Linked DNA regions of Saccharomyces cerevisiae S288C. The gene in region 2 interacts genetically with the main gene of each other region. Each region holds a gene or a part of one and is shown on either strand. Other genes may lie near its edges.

Evidence for each region.
Region 1: mutations in MET22 (region 2) and HXT15 together harm fitness more than expected from each alone (negative genetic interaction), as found in Saccharomyces cerevisiae (one large-scale study listed by BioGRID).
Region 3: mutations in MET22 (region 2) and CYS4 together harm fitness more than expected from each alone (negative genetic interaction), as found in Saccharomyces cerevisiae (3 studies listed by BioGRID).
Region 4: mutations in MET22 (region 2) and AIM26 together harm fitness more than expected from each alone (negative genetic interaction), as found in Saccharomyces cerevisiae (one large-scale study listed by BioGRID).

What each region holds. Positions count from the first base shown.
Region 1 is NC_001136.10:9,813-15,709, reverse strand, and holds HXT15 (hexose transporter HXT15), read left to right. Parts: upstream 1-2,349; coding exon 2,350-4,053; downstream 4,054-5,897. UniProt on the Saccharomyces cerevisiae protein: Probable glucose transporter.
Region 2 is NC_001147.6:204,523-210,155, reverse strand, and holds MET22 (3'(2'),5'-bisphosphate nucleotidase), read left to right. Parts: upstream 1-2,979; coding exon 2,980-4,053; downstream 4,054-5,633. Other genes in the region: CRT10 (Crt10p), read left to right, coding at 1-2,764; phosphoinositide 5-phosphatase INP54, read left to right, coding at 4,271-5,425. UniProt on the Saccharomyces cerevisiae protein: Phosphatase that converts adenosine 3'-phosphate 5'-phosphosulfate (PAPS) to adenosine 5'-phosphosulfate (APS) and 3'(2')-phosphoadenosine 5'-phosphate (PAP) to AMP. May regulate the flux of sulfur in the sulfur-activation pathway by converting PAPS to APS.
Region 3 is NC_001139.9:794,457-800,571, reverse strand, and holds CYS4 (cystathionine beta-synthase CYS4), read right to left. Parts: upstream 2,030-6,115; coding exon 506-2,029; downstream 1-505. Other genes in the region: cleavage polyadenylation factor subunit PTI1, read right to left, coding at 1-26; GTO1 (omega-class glutathione transferase), read left to right, coding at 2,704-3,774; YGR153W (uncharacterized protein), read right to left, coding at 3,827-4,480; Ras family GTPase RSR1, read left to right, coding at 5,080-5,898.
Region 4 is NC_001143.9:364,856-370,221, reverse strand, and holds AIM26 (Aim26p), read right to left. Parts: upstream 858-5,366; coding exon 501-857; downstream 1-500. Other genes in the region: UGP1 (UTP glucose-1-phosphate uridylyltransferase), read right to left, coding at 1-331; RGT1 (Rgt1p), read right to left, coding at 1,105-4,617. UniProt on the Saccharomyces cerevisiae protein: Involved in selective mitochondria autophagy (mitophagy).

The DNA.
Region 1 (5,897 bases), on a different chromosome or scaffold from region 2:
TAGGATAATTTCGATTATAACTCTAACATTTTTTACGTTTTCTCCATATTTCGAATTGTTCCTTCTTCAATCAAAATAATAAAAAAAAAAAATCACAAAAATGACTATAGTATTTTGAGCCCAACATGACTGCGAAATTGCTATTAACAATGATTAGTCAGTAGTATTGAATAACTTAGAATTTAAAACTACCTTATACAAGATGGGCATATAAAGGACATGCCAAATGGACATATTAAATACGCTCGATGTACCAGAACATCCAGGAACTTACCATAGAAAAATATGTAACGACTTATAAACTTTAAATAAATTAGAGATTCAATGAATCTCTAATTTTTTCCGCCCGCCTATTGAACTTTTACTTTGTCATTAATCTATTCTGAAATAGGTACAGAGCGACGCCAGTGTAAACATATGTGTGATGGACATCAGCATTCAATGTATATCTTATCACACCAGTTTATCCAAAGATAGATGCAGTTTTGAAATTGGTTACTTAGAATATTTCTACTACATTTCGATAACAAATATAACTATTTTGAATTTAAAAGTTGAGTATCCAAAAATTTTAGAAATACATACAATTACTTCCCAATTACTTCCCAAATATTCTCCCCCCTGGTTTGATATCATAAAAGCACCTTATGGCAACAAGATTCCCGGGATAGTAATGCTATTTTAATGTATATCTATTTCTCGAATACTTGTATCTTTACTCCACTACCCCTATGCAAGAAGATAAGCGATAGTTTTTGTTCCTTCCTCTTCCTACTCTGTTAATTAACTGAAAATTATTTATATTGAAAAGGTACTTGTAGCAAATTAGACAAGGAATTCTCCTGGTATAAAGTTAGAGAAACAGAAATATGAAACGGCCACCCCAGGTATGAAATATTATCTTAAGAAGAGCCATGAACACACATGAATAGATTCTTGAGACATGCTTAGGGTAACAAAGACTGTAACGCCTTGTTGCAATACTGCTTTATTCAAATTTTTAAATTGTACGGAATTGTGGTAAGGAGAATGTGCAAATAACTTAGCATGAAACGGTGCTATAGTTGAATCATTGTATGAGGTAACATCACTTCAACGAAAAGAAGAATAAAATTGACCTGCACATGGAGAAAGCGTAATATATAAAAAATGTTTACAATTTTGGCGCACTATATGGGAGAACAGCTGCTGGATAATATTATGCCCTTACTTCATTTCACCATATCCGTTTACAGTTCAAATCTCGCCGTCGAGCCATAAATTCTCAAAATTCCTTTGCAAATATTTTGCTTACCTGTAACCGGCAGCTTACATTCTTCCGTCATAATTTCTCAGACGGATGACATAAACCATTTTTTCAGAATCCTCGATAACATAATCGATCAAAACAGTAATAAACATTCTCTTGCACAAAATGGACTTTGGCAGCAAATCCTGAAATATTGTGGAGTATTGCCAGAGGTAAAAGCAACGTTGAACAAATTATGACACTAGACCTCTTAGGCATAAAGATGACATCATCTAGGTACTCGTAAAGATCCTAACCACAGATTCCACCTTAAAAGACGACAATAGTAACTTTGTCCTTGATCTGGGTTACTAAATCAGCGATATGATCATTAAAGTGAATATCCCCTTCTTAAAATGTACCAAATATCTTATACGTTTGCAGTTTTTCTTTTTCTTTTTCTTTATTTCTTTGGTAAGGACTAGGTAATTATTTCCGTATTTGGCTCCTTTGGCGCTTAAAAAATCTTGTACGCAAATTTCCACAAGATATTGCGTGACAATTACTATTACTGAAGTTGAACTTGTTTCATGTCTCCGCCTGTGTTAACTCCGTTTTGCTTAACTCCGTCTCGTATTACAGTAAATTCATGATGTGCCTATGAATATGCAGCTAGCCTGCTGCAGGCAAAATTATTTTTAGCTTTGTGCGCTACAGTGGTAGTAACTTAAAACTTAAAAGCTAAAATGCAAAAACAGTAGAGTGCGGGGTATGCTTTTCTTTTGAACGTGCACTGCGCAGAGGCACAATTTAGCAAAGAAGTCAGGCAAGGTAGATGATGTAAACAAACGAGGACTTGTACTGCGCATCTTGAACCTTTCAATATCATAAGTGCAATCAGCTAAAGGTTTGATTTTCCGAATGCTCTGCAAAAAAGTTAAACATGGTTATATAACTCAAGTATGATAACTCCAGTGTTGGCCTGTAATCACCAACTTTCAAACGTATAAAGAAAGTAAGTAATTCATTGTTTGCTTCAGGTTTAGTCTTATTACTATCCATAGAAGTAAAACTATTGATATTATTGACAGAAAAGGAGGAAAGGAAACTAAAGGAAAAAAATGGCAAGCGAACAGTCCTCACCAGAAATTAATGCAGATAATCTAAACAGTAGTGCAGCTGACGTTCATGTACAGCCACCCGGAGAGAAAGAATGGTCAGACGGGTTTTATGACAAAGAAGTCATTAATGGAAATACGCCAGACGCACCGAAGAGAGGCTTTTTAGGTTACCTTATTATCTACTTACTATGCTATCCTGTATCCTTTGGCGGTTTTTTACCTGGTTGGGATAGTGGTATTACTGCAGGCTTCATCAATATGGATAACTTTAAAATGAATTTTGGTTCTTACAAGCACAGTACTGGTGAGTATTATTTGAGCAACGTGCGTATGGGTCTTCTCGTGGCCATGTTCAGTGTAGGATGTTCCATTGGCGGTGTTGCTTTTGCGAGACTTGCTGATACTTTAGGTAGAAGGCTAGCAATTGTAATCGTGGTTTTGGTATATATGGTTGGTGCAATTATTCAGATCAGTTCGAATCACAAATGGTACCAATACTTTGTCGGTAAGATCATCTACGGTCTTGGTGCTGGTGGCTGTTCGGTGTTGTGTCCAATGCTTTTATCTGAAATAGCCCCCACAGATTTGAGAGGTGGACTTGTCTCATTGTACCAACTTAACATGACCTTCGGTATTTTCTTGGGTTATTGTAGCGTTTATGGAACAAGGAAGTATAGTAATACTGCGCAATGGAGGATTCCTGTGGGACTATGCTTTCTGTGGGCTCTAATTATCATCGTTGGCATGTTATTAGTTCCAGAGTCCCCAAGATATCTGATTGAATGTGAGAGACATGAAGAGGCCTGTGTCTCCATCGCCAAGATCAACAAGGTTTCACCAGAGGATCCATGGGTACTCAAACAGGCTGATGAAATCAACGCCGGTGTCCTTGCCCAAAGAGAACTAGGGGAAGCCTCATGGAAAGAACTTTTCTCCGTCAAAACAAAAGTCCTTCAACGTTTGATCACAGGTATTCTTGTGCAAACCTTTTTGCAACTTACTGGTGAAAACTACTTCTTCTTCTACGGAACTACCATTTTCAAATCAGTTGGGCTTACTGATGGGTTTGAGACTTCGATCGTCCTAGGTACAGTGAATTTCTTCTCCACTATTATTGCTGTTATGGTCGTAGACAAAATAGGCCGTCGTAAATGTCTGTTATTCGGAGCGGCTTCAATGATGGCTTGTATGGTCATATTTGCAAGTATCGGGGTAAAATGTCTTTACCCTCATGGCCAGGATGGTCCATCCTCGAAAGGTGCAGGTAATGCCATGATTGTGTTCACATGCTTCTATATATTCTGCTTTGCAACGACATGGGCCCCTGTTGCTTATATTGTGGTTGCCGAGTCATTCCCTTCGAAGGTCAAATCTAAAGCAATGTCAATTTCGACTGCATTCAACTGGTTATGGCAATTCTTGATTGGTTTTTTCACACCATTCATTACTGGGTCTATCCACTTCTATTATGGTTATGTGTTCGTAGGTTGTTTGGTTGCTATGTTTTTGTACGTTTTCTTCTTTTTACCAGAAACAATTGGTCTATCTTTGGAGGAAATCCAGTTACTATATGAAGAAGGTATAAAACCATGGAAATCTGCATCTTGGGTACCACCCTCAAGGAGAGGAGCTTCTTCCAGGGAAACTGAGGCTAAGAAGAAAAGCTGGAAAGAAGTTTTGAAGTTCCCAAAGAGTTTTAATTGATCAATATGCGCGCTTGATAAACATGCTAAGAGATAAATTCTTGAAAAAAAATAGGGCCTACTGTAAAACGAAGTGACACGTAATTTCAAATTTAATCAACAAAAAACTACGAGTTTCTTTGCAAACTCCCTTTTTCGGACTACTAGTACTATATAAAATAACGAGTTATTTAGTGAAAGAAAGCGTTTGGTTAAGGCAACATTGTACGAAGTTCTGTTTCTTTAAGGCAAAGCAGAGTATAAAAAGTAGGATGCTTATGGAGTGAAAACGGAGTGGTGATGAAGATGGGGAAGTCAACATAGGTCCACTTGAGTGCTTATGGAAGATCCTTAAAAATGCATTTCCAGGAACGTAACACTGTACCATTCCTCTAAATAAAGTGTATACAATAATATAGAAATATAGATTCTTCCCAAATATTCAGTTGTTACTATAAAGGGAATATTTGAGCTCGTTATTAGCGTGGCCGCACAAACAACCATCATATTAGAAGAGATAACTTTGTTTCAACTCGGGGGGGCAAACTTTCTCATGCTTCGTTAACTTGGCAAATACAACAAGCATACTTTTTGCGGTGAAAACATTTTGAGGCATGTTTCCACACAACATAATAGCGAATGGAGTAAGATTTTTTTTGTAATACAGTAAAAAGACCTCATATAGGTACCCGTACAAAGTCTCTGACCTCTCTGGGTGACCTGGGTCATTAGTAGTTCAAGGAGCATCTGCCACTAAAAGATTTGTGACCTAACTGTGGTAGTAACCGTTAAAGACACGGTATTGAAACAATGGGTTCAAAACAGTCGAGGGTTTTAGCATTTAAGTCGGCATATGTCCATTTCTATCCTTTTTCCAAGTCTATTGAGTTTCTTTATCTTTTTACTTATTTCCTTTTTGAAAGGTCTTACGACAAAGTTCAAAGCTTGATGAATTGTCTATTACTTTATTTGCTAAATTGAAACTCTGGATGAGTACCAATTCTTCTTTTCATTTTGCGATAATTGACATTATGATTTTTCAACTAATTAACATGATATTGTACATAATTTTTTAATATCAAAGCGCTACGTCCACTGAAACTATAGAACCGTTCATCTGTCGAATCAACATCTCTACAATTAGTACGAAAGCTTAGTTTATCAATTTTTTGTGAAAACTTTGACTAATGACGTATTATTGTGGTGTGCATTACGACCAAAAGGCGGGCTAACAATTCCAAGGAAAAAAGCTGGTGTAAACCTGACTGTTTGCCACGGCTTTTCTTACTACTAAATCGGTAGCAGGCATGAAGGAATCGTGAATGGTGTGACCTGAGACAAGGAGAGGCAGGCATGAAGGCAAACAAATTACGGGGGAAGGCACAGGAGATACCCCCACTAAAGATTACCCCACAATCCCTTATTTTCTCGAGCTCCCTGCAGGAGAGTAAGTTTTAGGCACATATAGGTGCAGAAAATAAAGTTTTCGCGGACAGCTACTGCCGAGTGGCAAAATCTATGTTGAAGTTGGAAAGTTACGCCTAGCTTCAGGAACCATCGGGCTTGGTTGGGGTGAATAATGAAGGAACTTCGTTCAGAAAACTGTTGTCTTTACCAAGCACTTTAATGCTTTCTTCCTCTTCAACAGTTAAGGTTCATCATATTCTATTATCTCCGGTCTCGTATCTCCTTTCTCCGGTCACATGAAGCCTCTGTATCACCTTGCTAACCGCATTTCTTCCATCTAAAGTATGTTCATTGCCATAAGTTGCTTACTCTCTCTTTAATATATAGAAAAAAATTCGACATATAAAAGGCTCAATGTCTTACCGTTCATCTTTATGAAGAGATATAGTATAAGTGGAA
Region 2 (5,633 bases):
ATTTCTGGCGTCTGGTGGCTGGAATATAACGAATGAGATAATAACGTTAAAGAAATATTATCAACTCAAGTGGCCAAACTCCAGTTGCAATTCGTTTCATCCAAAAACCGTGGAGTTTATTAAAGAACGATTACACAACCTAGAAGAACATGACTCTTCATGGAAAATCCCAAATCCTGCTTACTCATTCAAGAAAGCCTTCTTGGAGGATACTAAATCTGCATTTTCCAACTTAGAACCCGTCTGGGGACCATCAAGGCTTTTGAATCCAGCTGAATTACTATTGCCACAGGACGAAAAACTACTTGTTCAAGAGATACCACTAGAGTTCGCACCTTTTCAATACACAAATAGGTTTGCTTATGGTGGTTTGCAGTTCAAGAACAATTTGTTCGTCACTTATGGGAGTTATTCCTTCCTGGCTGCCGGTCAATGCGTCGAAGTTCATAATTTCGATATACTATTGAACGTTTCGTCATTAGAAATATGTCACGCCTTATTGCCCGTGATAATACCAGATGACGGAGATGTAAGAAACTTCCGCAATTCATCATATGTGAAATTTAAGGATACACAGTTCAACAGCATACCTGAACTATGTTCTATCAACTTTATGAAGATTTGTAACTTCATGCATCAAGATTTTCTACTAGCTTGCGGTGACAACGGAATCGTTTATATCTGGGAAATCAACAAAGTTATTAAGATATTTAATAAATTTACTTCGGATATCTTGGGAGGCAAAGATAACAGCCGGGAAAGATACATAAATGTTGATCCATATATGGTGTTAAGAGTAGAGGAATCTTGTTGGAGTGTTGATGTAATAGATATAAATGGCATCATATATATCGCTGTTGGCCATAACAAGCCTGGAGTTACAGTCTTTGCATTCGATAAAGATGTAAAGAAGGAAAGACGGTACATTCGGCCTCTAGATCTTCCCTCATCTCACAATGTTCCTTGTGTTAACTTTGTTCCTAATTCAAAAGATTCTGTTGGATATATTACATTAAGTTATTGTTCTATATTTGGGAATGTTGTTACCGTTAAATTAAAGGAGCATGATTGTACCATTTTAACGAGTTTCCTTGATACTCAATTTTTTGGCGACGACTTATGGACAATAACTCCACTGACTAAGAAGGATTTTGCGAAAGTTGACAATTTCGAATTGTTGAATCTTAACTACCAAGACGGTTTCAAAGAAAGCATGTTATATTCTATTTGCCGAGATGATTTTTTACTTGGGTATTACTGTGATAACGCCTACCTCTCTGGGAATTTCGGTATTGGTACATTACTCAATCAATTTCAGGTTCCTGTCACAGACCTACGACTGACTTCTTCAGCAGGGATCCCCGATGAAGTTATACCATTAAGATTTACCTCATTTGATAGAAATTACACTACAACGGGCTCGATAAAATACGAGTACAGCAGAGAGGATTTTGCACTTATTTTACATGCCGGTGACTTAGACGATATGAATGATGCAGTGACAAAAAACACCTCATGTGAACAGCATTTACACCAATGGACATTTTGGGAGGATTCTGGTTATAAACATTATCGTGCTACTGAGCGTGGATTTTCGAAATACAAGGATATTATTAATACTTTTCCACAGTTGATAACTCCTAGTGGAAGAAATAAAACATCGCAATATCAAAACACTTCTGGGAGAAAGATCTGTGAGCCGTCTACTTATAAACTTACTGATCTCGAAAATGATATTGAAGATATATCTCGCGAATTTAATAGAAGTATTCGTAATTTGAAAATGGATAAACAAAGACAACTACGAACTTCAAAAGAGTTCAAATCGCTAAGTTCAGTAAATCATATACCAAATATTGAATCGGGAAACTTTTTATGGTACAACACCGATGCCGCTGCCGATTGGAGAACACTTTTTGGCAAGGATTTGAACACGGTCTTGAAGGACCCAGAAATTTGTAGCCTTCAACTGAACTCTACAGAAGAGGACGATGTCAATAGCGACCCTGAAAATGAAGAATCTGGTAGCAGCTTAACAAGTTTCCAGCGAAGATATAGGGATACTGAACAGCGTGCTCACTTGAAATCAGAATCGCAGAAATCTTGGGGGTTCCACAACTATGTAAGAAACGTCAAGCGGTTATTAGAGTCAGCAGTACCGGGCTCAGAAGATTCGCCTCTTGGGTATCAACTATCCGAAATGCACGACGAGTTCTTCTTCCTAACCACAGCCCATAGGCTGGTGTTGATGAAAGCAAATCCACTCATAATTATATCAGCAACTCATCATGAGATTTTTCCCTTAGATGGTGTTGTGACGTGTGCTTCCAAGTCGCTGCTCCAAGCACTAAACAGAATAAATTTTGTGTGTCACATCAAAGAACTAAATTGCATAGCCGTGGCTTCACAATTGGGTCTCATTTCATTACTAAGACTAACAGAGTACAGAGGCATCTATTCGTTTAGACAAGAGTATATTCTTGGATGGGAAGTCCAAGACCCTGTTAACCCTAGTCCAGAGTGCAGATGTAACAGGAACTTGTTTGACGCACCAATGTATGGTGCAGATGGAGAGAGCTCGGACACATACTGCGGCGTGTGCGACGTCTATTTCCCCATGGGTGATATTTGCGGACTAGATTACACTTATGCATCTGACAGTGAAGAGTTAAAACGTAAGGGATATGCTACCTTATACGTAGCATCAAGAGGCTCCTTGAGGGCATTCAAGATCACAACTGAGCATGGAACAACTCAACAATAGCATATTTTGACATTTACATAGCCATCTATATAATAATCCTTCCTTCATTGAAATGCGCGAATGACTCAGACGAGCAATATCACGTGTTGCGATTTTACTTTCAGTTTGCAAAGAAGAAACCATGCCACATATAAAGAACGTTTGCACTTCTCTTTAATTTATTAGTTAGTAAGTAAGAAGTTTAAAGACAACTCAGAAGACATCAGCACTTTACTATGGCATTGGAAAGAGAATTATTGGTTGCAACTCAAGCTGTACGAAAGGCGTCTTTATTGACTAAGAGAATTCAATCTGAAGTGATTTCTCACAAGGACTCCACTACTATTACCAAGAATGATAATTCTCCAGTAACCACAGGTGATTATGCTGCACAAACGATCATCATAAATGCTATCAAGAGCAATTTTCCTGATGATAAGGTAGTTGGTGAAGAATCCTCATCAGGATTGAGCGACGCATTCGTCTCAGGAATTTTAAACGAAATAAAAGCCAATGACGAAGTTTATAACAAGAATTATAAAAAGGATGATTTTCTGTTTACAAACGATCAGTTTCCGCTAAAATCTTTGGAGGACGTCAGGCAAATCATCGATTTCGGCAATTACGAAGGTGGTAGAAAAGGAAGATTTTGGTGTTTGGATCCTATTGACGGAACCAAGGGGTTTTTAAGAGGTGAACAGTTTGCAGTATGTCTGGCCTTAATTGTGGACGGTGTTGTTCAGCTTGGTTGTATTGGATGCCCCAACTTAGTTTTAAGTTCTTATGGGGCCCAAGATTTGAAAGGCCATGAGTCATTTGGTTATATCTTTCGTGCTGTTAGAGGTTTAGGTGCCTTCTATTCTCCATCTTCAGATGCAGAGTCATGGACCAAAATCCACGTTAGACACTTAAAAGACACTAAAGACATGATTACTTTAGAGGGAGTTGAAAAGGGACACTCCTCTCATGATGAACAAACTGCTATCAAAAACAAACTAAATATATCCAAATCTTTGCACTTGGATTCTCAAGCCAAGTACTGTTTGTTAGCATTGGGCTTAGCAGACGTATATTTACGTCTGCCTATCAAACTTTCTTACCAAGAAAAGATCTGGGACCATGCTGCAGGCAACGTTATTGTCCATGAAGCTGGAGGTATCCATACAGATGCCATGGAAGATGTTCCTCTAGACTTCGGTAACGGTAGAACGCTAGCTACGAAGGGAGTTATAGCGTCAAGTGGCCCACGCGAGTTACATGACTTGGTGGTGTCTACATCATGCGATGTCATTCAGTCAAGAAACGCCTAAATAACATATATTTTACTTTATTGATAGACATAAATATATGAGTACATATATATATGTGTGTATGTGTATGTACATACCAGTTAAATGATAACCTTTTTTTATTGTTGTTATAGCGTGAAAAAAGGAAAATACAGTGAAAAGAACAAAACTGAAGAGGTAAGAGTAGGCTAACAAAGAAGAAAAGTGAGACAAGAAAATACAGCAGGATTCTGACCGAATGAACAAAACGAATTGGAAGGTATCTGTAACTACATTCAATTGTGGTAAGGAATTTCCCGTTGAAAATTCGAAAGCAATCGTTAAGCAATTGCTTTTCCCCTACGATGACGGCATCTCCCAATTGGAATTGCAAGATCTATATGTGTTGGGGTTCCAAGAAGTAGTCCCCATATGGCAAGGCTCCTTCCCTGCTGTTAATCGTGATTTAATCGATAGAATTACAACTACTGCGGTTAATTGTCTGAATGAAAAAGTGTCAGCTACACAAGGGGATGAGCAGTATTCATGTTTAGGGGTGAATAGTCTTGGGGCGATTACCATAATAGTATTATACAATAATAATGCGCTAAAGGTAAAAGATGATATTTTGAAACGGAATGGGAAATGCGGTTGGTTTGGTACACACTTGAAAGGTGGAACTTTGATAAGTTTTCAGATGACACGCAATGGCGAGGAGAACTGGGAAAGATTTAGCTATATTTGTGCTCATTTAAATGCAAATGAAGGTGTCAACAATAGAAATCAAAGAATAGATGATTACAAACGAATAATGAGTGAAGTGTGTGATTCTGAGGTTGCAAAAAGCGACCACTTTTTCTTTCTAGGCGATTTGAATTTTAGGGTTACTAGTACTTATGATCCAACTACCAATTATTCGTCCACCACAACGTTAAGGCGTCTATTAGAAAATCATGAAGAACTAAATCTGCTACGTAAAGGAGAGGATGAACCGTTATGCAAAGGTTTTCAGGAGCTGAAGATAACATTTCCACCGACATACAAATTCAAGTTGTTTGAAAAGGAAACATATAATACAAAAAGAATCCCGTCGTGGTGCGATAGGATTCTCTACAAAAGCTATGCAGTGCCAACTTTCGCACAAGAAGGTACTTACCATTCCGTCCCTAGGTCCAATGCTCTATTATTTAGCGATCATCAACCCGTTAATCTTACCGTAAGATTACCAAGGTCTACAGGGACGCCAGTGCCGTTATCCTTACATATCGAAAAGTATCCTTTATCATGGAGCTCTGGCCTGATTGGACAAATTGGTGACGCAGTCATCGGGTACTGCGGTTGGCTAGTTACTAAGAATGTACATTATTGGATATTAGGTTCTTTACTATTATATTTACTATTAAAAATCCTGTAAAGTGATCTGGGCTGTCAGGCTAGAAGTTTTTCATTTATGTCTGAAACAGATAACGTCAGTTGTACCACTATCTTTGGTTTTATTCTTTTTATTTTCTCTTCCATATATCTTTACAGAACTTAAGTAATAATGAAAAAGAATGAAAAAAAAAAAAAAAAAAGAAAAACTAGTCAAAATTATTGCCATGAAAAAACAGGAAGAAGAGAGA
Region 3 (6,115 bases), on a different chromosome or scaffold from region 2:
CCTGTTCTTCTTCTGGGATCTGTCATCAATTTTTTTCCTTCGTTCTTCGTTCTTCGTCTTCTCCAGTTGTGAGTTTTCTAAATATACCTATATATAAAATAATAAAATCTAATCAATGCAACGTGTTTGACAGTGACGTTTACAGATAGGACGACCGGATGAGCGACTGAAAAAGGTGCTATTATGAATGCACGGTTTCGCAAGACCTCAAACAATCGTACTAGTATTTCTGAAATTCTGCTTTACTGCCCGACCTTTCCAACATGTCGCTGTTTTTTTGTTTTTCTTCAGAGTCGGGTAAGAGCAATAAAGTGAAAAGTTAACAGATTCAAACACTGATGTGATGCATGCATGATAAGGAATTTGTAAAAATAATAGAACAATGCTGCTTCGTATAGGCGCTATTTAATTAAGTAGTTATATAAAGAGAACGGTGCAATTGAATAGGAAAGGAATGACGGATTTTGCTTCTATGTTTGCTTTTATTTGAAGCGTGGGTTCTTATTTATGCTAAGTAGCTCAGTAAATCCATCTTAGTAACGATATGGATTGGTTTCAAGCCATCAGTGATAACGGCAGATGAGTTTTTTTCAAAGAAACGATTCAAGTCAGATAGCTTTGAGTTTTCATCGAATTTAATAAACTTCTTCTTACCGGATTTATTTTCGTTGTAAGAGGAAACATCATTGAAATTGTTTAATTTCTTGAAGTCCAAGTATTTACCCTTTATAGTGTTGTCGTTGTTTGAATTATTGATTGATAGTTTTCTTAGAAGCTCAGAGAGAGTAACTAAACCAGACAACTTGCCGTCTTCAGTCAACACAGGCAATTGGTCAAAGCCATTGTCTTTTAATATCTTGATAACATCAGTGACCTTAGCGGTTTCCTTAACGGAAACAACCGGTTTCAAGTGAAGATCCTTTACAGTAGCGTTACCAAACACATCAGCGTATTTTGTCGTCGAAGCCTCCAGCTTTGAAGAGTCAAAACGGGCCAACACGTCATCATCCCACAAATTGTTCTTTTTCAACCATTCGTCATCGACGAATTTGGTTAGGTACGACCTGATGGAATCTGGGAATATGGCAACAATGACATCATCTTCAGTCAGTTCAGGGTGGTCTTCACAGTATTTCACAACCGCAGTGAAGGCAGAACCGGAAGAACCACCCACCAAGACACCTTCGTTAGAAATCAATTGTCTGGCGTATTTGAAAGAAGGCTTGTCGTCTGTCTTATACCAAACATCAATTAATTTTCTGTCCAAAACCTGAGGAACAAAATCATAACCAATACCCTCAACTTTGTAGTCAGTGATATCAGTCTTATTCAAGTTTTCAGGTTGGGCTAAAATTGAACCGAATGGGTCAGCACCAACGATTTGGATCTTATCATTCTGTTCTTTCAAGTACTTGGAAATACCGCTAATAGTCCCACCAGTACCAGCACCAGCAACAACAGCGCGTAGATTATCAAATAAATTCAAGTCTTCTAGCTGTCTTTGGATTTCGCGACCAGTACCAAAGTAATGAGCTTCTGGGTTCATCATATTGTTATATTGGTCAAGTATAACAGCACCAGGAATCTCTTTTTCCAACTTCTTAGCAACACCAATATGTGATTCTGGAGAATCCCAGGCAGCAGCAGTTGGAGTTCTGATGATTTCAGCACCCAGAGCCTTTAGGACAGAAACTTTCTCGTTAGACATTTTTTCCGGCAAGGTGATGATAGTTCTGTAACCTTTGATGGCGCCGATTAAAGCTAGACCGATACCGGTGTTACCAGAAGTAGGTTCGATCAGAGTAGATCTGGAAGGATGAATTCTACCGGAAGCTTCAGCTTCTTCCACCATAGACTTGGCAATTCTGTCTTTGATGGAACCACCTGGATTGTATAGTTCCAGCTTAGCATAAATTTGTGGTTTGATACCCAAAGCCTTAGGCAATTTTTTCAGTGCGATCAATGGGGTGTTACCAACTAAGTCGATAACGTTATGTCTTGAATCGGCTTGCTGCTCAGATTTAGTCATTTTTATTCTTACGTCGTATTTATCTAGATGTCCTTTGAGCAAGTGGCCTACAACGAAATCTTCAAGTGTTGCCTTTTACTTTGGCATAGAAGCATCACGACATTTATATATACAAGCCTGGTGAAGTGCCTTGCGTTTACTTTAACCTTTAGGAGAAAAAAATTTTCGGTGTTGGTTTCTTTTTTTCCTTTCGGTGCAAAACTGTGGAGGAAGATGGCAATAAATTAGTGAAACGGTAATGCCGTGTGGACTGCATATGCCGGATATAGCATTTATCAGTCACGACAGAGCTGATTATCCTTACTTGGGTGAAGTTGAAGTTGTTGTGATAAGGTTAGAATGCAAATGAAGCTTTGTCAGCGCTGAGAAAGAAAATTTTGTTTTGTGAGCCACTACTATCACGTGCCATTACCATTTTAATCAGTTATGAAATAGGGGAATGTGTCATTGAGGGAAAATGTAATGGCCACCAAATGAATCAGAGGGTCGGATGAGAACACACCCTTACTAACTGCTGTTCATATCTCACAGTTGCCATTGATAAGCTCTGGTGGGAAAATACCCTTGATTTTTGGTAGCACATATTGACATAACAAAAGTCTTGACTTTGCCAATTGGAGAGATGGCCACTTATAGAGGAAAATACTCGTAAAAATAATCATAAACAGTAAGCCATGTCAGTATCTTACAAGGGAACAATTTCTAAGACACATTCTGTTTTTAAACCAGAAAAAGGAAGGTATTATATTTACGGGGCCCTTGGGTGTCCATTCACTCATAGAGCCATTCTTGCCAGGTCTTTGAAGAAATTAGAACCTGTTCTAGGGCTTGTGTTATCTCACTGGCAATTAGACTCCAAGGGTGCCCGTTTCTTACCTGCTCCACACCGGCCGGAAAAATATAAAGAGAGATTCTTTACTGCCACTGGTGGCATTGCTTCAGCTAAATTAGACGAATCTGAGGAGTTAGGTGATGTGAACAATGACTCTGCAAGGTTGTTCGTGGATGGCGCTTTCGACCCGGTGGAAAATATATCAAGGTTAAGCGAGTTGTACTACTTAAATGATCCTAAGTACCCCGGTACAAAGTTCACTGTGCCTGTTCTGTGGGATTCTAAAACAAGGAAAATTGTTAACAATGAGAGTGGCGATATCATAAGAATTTTGAACAGTGGCGTGTTTGATGAATTTATCCAAAGCGAAGAAACGAACGTGATTGATCTAGTTCCGCATGATTTAATAGACGAGATTGATAAGAACATCAAATGGGTTCATCCGAAGATTAATCTTGGTGTCTATAAAGTCGGATTAGCAGAAAACGGAAAGATTTACGAAACTGAAGTAAAAACACTGTTTGAAAACTTGCAGAAGATGGAATGTGTACTAAAAGAAAATTATAAGCGCTTAGAGGAGCAATTCAGTGGTAACAAACAGAAAATCTTGGCTAAATATTTTGTTTTAGGACAGAGGTTAACTGAAGCGGATATCAGATTGTATCCATCAATAATTAGATTTGACGTCGTGTACGTGCAGCACTTCAAATGCAATTTGAAAACTATAAGGGATGGTTTCCCGTACCTTCATTTGTGGTTGATTAATCTATACTGGAATTACGCAGAGTTTAGATTTACTACAGATTTTAATCATATTAAGCTCTTTTACATCAGGATGGAAGTAAGTAGGAACAAGATCAATCAGTTTGGTATAGTGCCATTAGGCCCAAAGCCTGACATTTCTAGATTATGAAAACTTCTAATATTTTCTTACACACACATATATTTATATGCATGGCTATACTTCAAAAGAGGTTGTCACTTCCATTTCCATGTAGGTAAAACTCGTGTATAGACGGAACACAGACTTCCCTAGTTTTATTGACTTCATAGTCTCTGCACCATTCAATTATGTCTCTGTAAAAGAGACTCTTCTTTATATCGCCCTTTTCTATATTCTCCATCTCCAGTTCTTTGAAGCATTTTGCTTTTCTCGATTTATGACAACCACACGGTTTTACACTCTCCTCTCCATGTTCTACCATTTCATGCCTCCAGTCAAAAAATGGTTGACTGTATTCCCTACTTGAATCCATACTTGATTCAACAAGGTAGTTTCTCGAATTCTCAGGTAGTACTGCCACCCTCCTTAAACGTTTCTCTCTTTGTCTTGCTTCCTTTCTTTGTTCTATTTTTGGCGGAATGGTAAATTTCACAGGATTCTTGGATCCATTCTCATTTTCATTCAAGGCATTTAAGTCCAAGGAAAATAACCGTATGCTCACGTTGGACCCTTCAAACGTGAAACTATCTTCACTCAATATACTTCCTACACCGCATTGTTCCTCGTTACTACTTGAATCCTGTATATCTGAGAGAGAGGTAAAAAATGAGTAGGTATCTCTTTCCCCCTCACATTCGTAAGTGCCGACTTCTTTATTCAAACAGGCCTTTCCCATTTCTCAAAGACCTCTTTTCGTAACCTATTTAGTAATGATGAAAAGTATTAAACAGTATTTTCAAGATAAGAATTTTATTATTTTGTACCATTTACGATACACATAAACCCCAGAAAAAAACAACTTTATGGGAAAAGGCGAATAGTACTCATAATATACAAGGTAAAAGCAGGCGTATCTCAGTCATACAGTTCAATAGAGAAAGGCATTTTTGGAATATCATACATTTTATCTAGCAAGTGGAAACAGACTGTATATTCCCAAGAATCATCGCCTTTTTATCACAACGTCAGCCTCACAACTAATTCGCGTCAAAGCGCATTCATCCTCGACATTCTCAAACGCGAAATATCGTCGAAAAAGGTTAAAAAGAAAAGAGAGAAGGACAGAAAAAGAAAAAAGTAAAGTAGAGCTCGATCTCGAAAAAAAGAACCATTGCGTTCGTTCTTAACTACGCCAAGAAGTTTTTGAAATTTCATCCTCTCCACTGAACAATAATACTATTATTTAGTAACGATATAGAACATTTACATACAACGTTCTAATATTTTGGCTTCTATCATCGCTTAGAAATATTTGGCTAGGAAACATTAGGACTAATGAGAGACTATAAATTAGTAGTATTGGGTGCTGGTGGTGTCGGTAAATCCTGCTTAACCGTGCAGTTTGTACAGGGAGTTTATTTGGATACGTATGATCCAACGATCGAAGATTCTTACAGGAAAACCATCGAGATCGATAACAAGGTATTCGACCTGGAAATTTTAGATACAGCGGGTATAGCACAATTTACTGCAATGAGAGAATTATACATAAAGTCAGGAATGGGGTTCCTGTTGGTATATTCAGTAACAGATCGGCAATCTTTGGAAGAATTAATGGAGCTAAGAGAACAGGTCCTTAGGATCAAAGATTCCGATCGCGTTCCAATGGTTCTAATAGGTAACAAGGCTGATCTAATCAATGAAAGGGTAATAAGTGTGGAAGAAGGTATAGAGGTAAGCAGTAAATGGGGTAGAGTTCCCTTTTATGAAACAAGCGCTTTGTTGAGGAGCAATGTGGATGAAGTGTTCGTTGATTTAGTTAGGCAAATCATTCGGAATGAAATGGAAAGTGTTGCAGTTAAAGACGCAAGAAATCAAAGTCAACAATTTAGCAAAATCGAGTCTCCATCAACCAGGCTCCCTAGTTCTGCGAAACAGGATACGAAACAATCAAACAATAAGCAATCATCAAAAGGTTTATATAACAAATCTTCACAAGGACAAGCTAAAGTTAAACAATCTACTCCGGTTAATGAAAAGCACAAACCGTCACATGCCGTTCCGAAATCTGGTTCTAGCAACAGGACAGGAATTAGCGCTACTTCACAACAAAAGAAAAAGAAGAAAAACGCTTCCACTTGCACTATTCTATAGTCACTTAATTTTATTATAAATGAATCAAGATATCAGATAAAAAGACTTTACTTGAAATAGTTTTATTATAGTTCTAAAAGGTTTAGTTTAAAGTATTAGCATACGTTGTATAAGTTTTTAAAGAAATCAATTAATAATGTTTGAAAATAAATTTAAACCCAAAAAAAATGAAATGTTAAAAATATGGACGCAACCGGAATCGAACCGATGACCTCTT
Region 4 (5,366 bases), on a different chromosome or scaffold from region 2:
CGTTCAACTTCAAAACAGCCAATTTGGAAAGGTTTGAGACATTCTCGGGCTGCTGAGAAATAATTTCATACTTAACCACTTCATCCGGGTTGGGAGACTTGATCTTGTCCCATTCCAAGGTGGTTCTAGAAGACTTCTCTACCAAATATCTCCTGAAAAGCGTGAAAAACGAATCCAGTTCGTTCTCAAACTTAGCGCGAGCAGCATCGTCAAGTTTACTAGAGTCCGCCAACTTGTTTAAGGCGTTTCTCATTTGTGAGGCAGCAACGCTGTTTGTGTTGCTCTCGAATGCATAAGTGGAATGTGTTTTGGTGTGCTTCTTAGTGGACATTATTATGTTATGGTACACTTGCTGTGGAAGTTATATTATATAATCGGAAGAGGACTAGGCCTTTTAACGTTGCTGATGTGGAAAGAACCAGAAATTGAATCTCCAACTCCTAAAACCGTAACTTCAATCTCATGGTACCTGCTGGAAGAACTTTGTTGTTTGTTTAGATTTATATACTCAATCCAAAACAGGGAAAGGAAATGCAAAAACGGGCCGAGCCCAAACAAAAGAGGAAGCGCGTCAGGCTGTTCGAGAAGGGGCGGGGGAAGGGGATCAGGTTACAAGACGCTGTACAGGGATCTGTGTGAGAACAAACCGACACCAGAACTTTGGACTTTGCAAGCGCCGGAATTGAATCTGTAGCAATGGCAATGGCAATAGTGATGGCACCAGGTGTAACAGCAAGCCGGCGGTAGCAACGTGCGTAATAAGGACTTCTGCCCCTGAAAAAGTATGCCAAAAGTAGGAGAAAGAAAGACCCCTTTAGCTGTGAAAGAAGAAGGTGCTCCCCGCCCATTGTCTGCATGCGCCCCTGAGCTTGGCGACTCTCGAATACCGTGGAAGATGGTGGAGCACCAGAGTAAAAGGCCGTGCGCACTCTGACAAGGCAGTATTGTTACAGGTTAAAACAGCTAGTGTGTATATGTGTAAGTAAGTATTATTTATGTGTTTTACTTAAATTGGTCATTCATTGCATGGTAGTTCTTTACGCGAATTTCTGCCTGAGGAGAAGGGAGAACCTGACCTACAGGAGAAGGGAGCATAGTTACCTGTCAATACCAGCCTAACTCGGAATCGTCCAACAGCTTCCAGCCGATACTAACGAAATTTTCCAGGGCAACGTTCTCAAGCCTGGGTTCCTCTGCGGCTACTGGCGCCGTTGTCGGTTGTGTACCAGAAGTACGGCGTTCATCAAGCAATGTCTTCATGACTGATGACTCGCGGAGGCCTTGGCCCGACTTTGGCCACATGACGTCGTTTCTGGTCGTGGACGAAAGTCCTCCTGTCAGGGACATTATGGGCTTATTAAGCTCGTGCTCGAAGATCTTGAATGGCTTGATCATTGTCAGCACGCTGGTGATTTGAACTACTTCATTCATCGAGTTTGACAGCTTCATGACCAGGTCCTGCGACTTCTTGGTGTCCTGAGTATTCTGCGTTGTAGTTGCCGTCATCATAATGCTAATGAGTGATGTAGGCATCTGCTTGACCAGTTCAGTGATGTTGTAGACCTCGTGCAGGATAGCAATAGCAAAGGGGGAAATTATCCCCCGGCAAAGGTCTGAAAGGATAGTGCCAGTGTCTTGTTTCAGGCCTAGTAATTTCTTGTAAAAATCTGGATTCCCCTCCGATGGAGGTGCAGCGCTAAGGTTCCCAGCGACTGGAGACGAGCCCATAGCAGATGGGCCCTCTTGCACTGTCGGATTATTAGCGGGTGGGTTCGGTGGTCTATAATTAAAATCAATACTGTTCGTAGGATTCAGTCTTAATATCAACGTCAATACTTGCAAAATTATTGATATCAATGAGCACAGAGAGTCTGCTATTTTCGAACTCAAATCCAATGTCAAATCTGAATAGACTCCTGCTTCTGAATCGTATAATGATAATAAGCAATTGATGAAATTGTGTTTGCCAATTAATAGCTTGCAAAATAACTGTGCTACGGATAGAGGTTGAGTTTCCACATATTCCGATAAGAGTGAAGACGAGTTCGTAATATCGAACCCAGGCTTCCTATTGCCGTTCATTGATATTCTATTCCTGGTAAGCTCACTCATCAATTCACCCAATTTCAAGCTTTGCAAGACGCTTTTCAGTCTCAATTGGCTTTGTTCCAGGCACCATTTTGAGCCCAAATCATTAGAAAAAAATCTTTCTGTAGAACCTTGGATGGAAATGTTTAATAGCTTGGGACCACCGAATGCACAGCTTTGTAAAGAATCAAACACTGAAAGCAAAACGTATAATCTTTTAAACAACACTGAATAGTGACTAATGTTTTCGTCCATGGAATTTGGTGAATTGGATGGATTCATATGCCCAGCACTTTCAGATCCAATTTCAAATTCGGACGTTTTTGTATTCCCATTACCAGTGCTGACCTCTTCATCAACTGGAGGCTTCACATCATTTATATCCGGCTCCGGAAATAATAGAAGTTTGTATAATTTAAATTCGTTAAAAATTGTCACCGACATTCCAAGTACAAATGAGTTATCGTATCCAACAAATGCCAAAATGTAATTTAAAAGAATAAAAGTAGATAAATAAATGACTTTGATCTTCGGCGAAATTTGGTCGTTGTTTTCTCTGAATTTGGGATGAATATCCACGATTTTTTGGAAACATTCATTGAGGGCGGCAATAAAAACGCTTTGCACTTCCAAAGTATCCTGTACTTCATTATGTGAATCACGTCTTGTTTTTTCAGCATCATCCCTTGCCGTGGCTGTAGTGAACCCAGCTTTGTTGTTGTCATTACTTGGCGACAAAGCCACGCCAACAATATTATCGAAAAACTTGCCACCTGGCTTTTGTTTCAGAGCAACACGAACTAACAATTCCAATGAATTTCTAAACCACAAAATAACATATGAATTGACTTCGTGTATATTGGAAATTGGCTGTGTGTTAACTAACAATAAGTCACTGGTCAAGGTCGTTTTGTTTAAAGGTATGATCGGAAATCCTACATGTATGAACTCATAGTAGGTGTCTATTAGATCTACATCGGATATCTGTCCATACGCGATAGTTGATGAAGTGGTCATTGGGTGAGCAGAATCTTTCGATGTTATAGATATAGATGAATCTCTCTTTGGTTTTGTCTTCTTAGATACGTAACTTTTTCTGCGTTTTTTTGTACTTCTCTGTGGCGTTGATCCAGGGCTGGATGCTTCCAAAGCCGCTGGTGTAGTTACAGATTCTTGGGAATGTTGAGATGTATCCTTAGAAGAACCGCTATTATTGCTGCCATTATTGTTGTTAATTTCACCATTATTATTCTCATTACCATTCAGCCTGTCCGTGGATAATGTTACTGATACGGGGGCTGATTGTCGCCTTTTATTTCCATCCAACTCAGATGAAAATTGCGGTACCTGCTGTCCTTGAGGTCTTTGTGTTTGCTGTGCAACATTTACGGGGTTTGTAGATGTGCTAGTAAACATGGCAGGTGCACTGGGAGACATAGCCTCGCTGGCGACTGATCCTTGTCTAGAATGAAAACCATTAGCAGCGAACTGGCCAAAAGATGATATCGATGGGTTGTACGGTTGCTGCTGGGAAAATTGAGAATACGAGTATAGGTTCTGTCCTTGTTGCAACTTTTGTTGGTGTGCTTGTGGCTGCGATTGTTGCTGAGGTGGGGGAAGCTGAGGCTGGCCACCTAGTAAAAGAGAATTTGAAGTATTTCGTAGCAAAGAAGGTATGGAACTTGATCTTCTTGTCTGTTCCCCATTATGATCATCAGTAGGAGCTAGTAAACCAGAAGTTCTTATAAAGGACCAATAACCACCACTACCAGAGGCACTGCCTGAGCCGGTGACACTTCCGTTTGCATTTCCAGAATCATTAGTATGTTTATTCGTTATGGGAGACTGTTGAACGGTGTTATAAGACAACTGCTCGTTGGGATTTAATGTTCTTACCGATATATCACTTTGCAAAGAATCGATAGATCCTTTTCTTTGGTGTTGAAACTCATGGTAGGGCACTTTCCAAAACTGCTGTTGGCCAATATTACCCGCGGGCATAGTTGATTGTATCGCTGGATTTTGGAAACTAGGAGGAATGCCACCAGCCTGGGGAATGTACTGTGTCAGTGGGGGCAATAAAACTGAATTAGATCTCGAAGGGGTACTTGGAACTGTGTTACTGTTTATACCGTTGTCGCCGCTATTGCCCGTATTATTATTCAGGGTATTGTTACTATTATCAAACGTATTATACGACCTTGAGTTATTGTGGTCTTGTATTTCGTTAGTCCTTGGATGGCTGGTGCTCCTCGTATAGCCTTTCGAGGGTCCCCTTTTCAAAGGAACCCTATCAAAACTACAACGGTCTCCATTCCTTTGGCAGTTTGAGCAGACCCCCTTTTCATCTTTGTAGTCACATTTAATCTTCTTTTTACGACACTGATCGCAGGCCCGGGAGGCCTTTGTTCTTTTCTTTATTGCGTGACTTGCTGCTGCTGCGGAGTCCATATCGTCGGGACTATTGGATGTACCACCGTTCTTGGTGGAGTCACTGGAGTTAGTCGAAACAGTGTTCAGCTCGTTCATAATTTGAAATATATTGGAGTTTGAGAGAAGAGTACAGCTTCTTGACAAATGTGAGAATCGAAGAAGCGTGTTATTATTGCACCAATGAAAATTGCGGGAACGGTTCTGCACAATATAGTACAAGGGAGAGGCGATTTCCAACGAAGTCTATGGTGAAAGAGCAGAATATGTTGGATGGACAATACTCCAGTCTCAAAACTCCAAGCACGGTTCCTAACTGATGTGTTCTTATTTTGACTTTTTTTATTTTTTGAATTTTTACTAGTTGCTACTATTTTTTTTTCCTGTTTTTCCTTAAAAGGTCCCTTCCCATAATCGTCTTGCTTAGTTAGCTACATGAAAAAAAAGGAAAAAACTAAAGGAAAATGCACAAAGCAGCGACATATTTTATGAATCCAATACCTGCCATTTCAAGAAGCTCGGATTATTGGTGAGGTGACGTAGCTTTTGTTTGATGTACTGTTGATTATTCGTCTCTGGTGCTCATAAGCCACGTCACAGAAAACGATAAACGATGTTAGCGCACATGCTACATGACTTGCCAATCGTGGTAAAGCTTCTGATGAAAGAACCAACTTGCGGAAGCGTGCCCATAAAATGGTCGTGCGGCTTAACGAGCAATCACACCGAATAAAGTGATCCCGTAAAATGATATTCTACTCGGATGATCCGTTCCCTAGGAAGCGTAAGACAAGTAACTACAAATGTTGTCGCATGTATATTCTATTACTCAGAGCGTTTGACAAAAA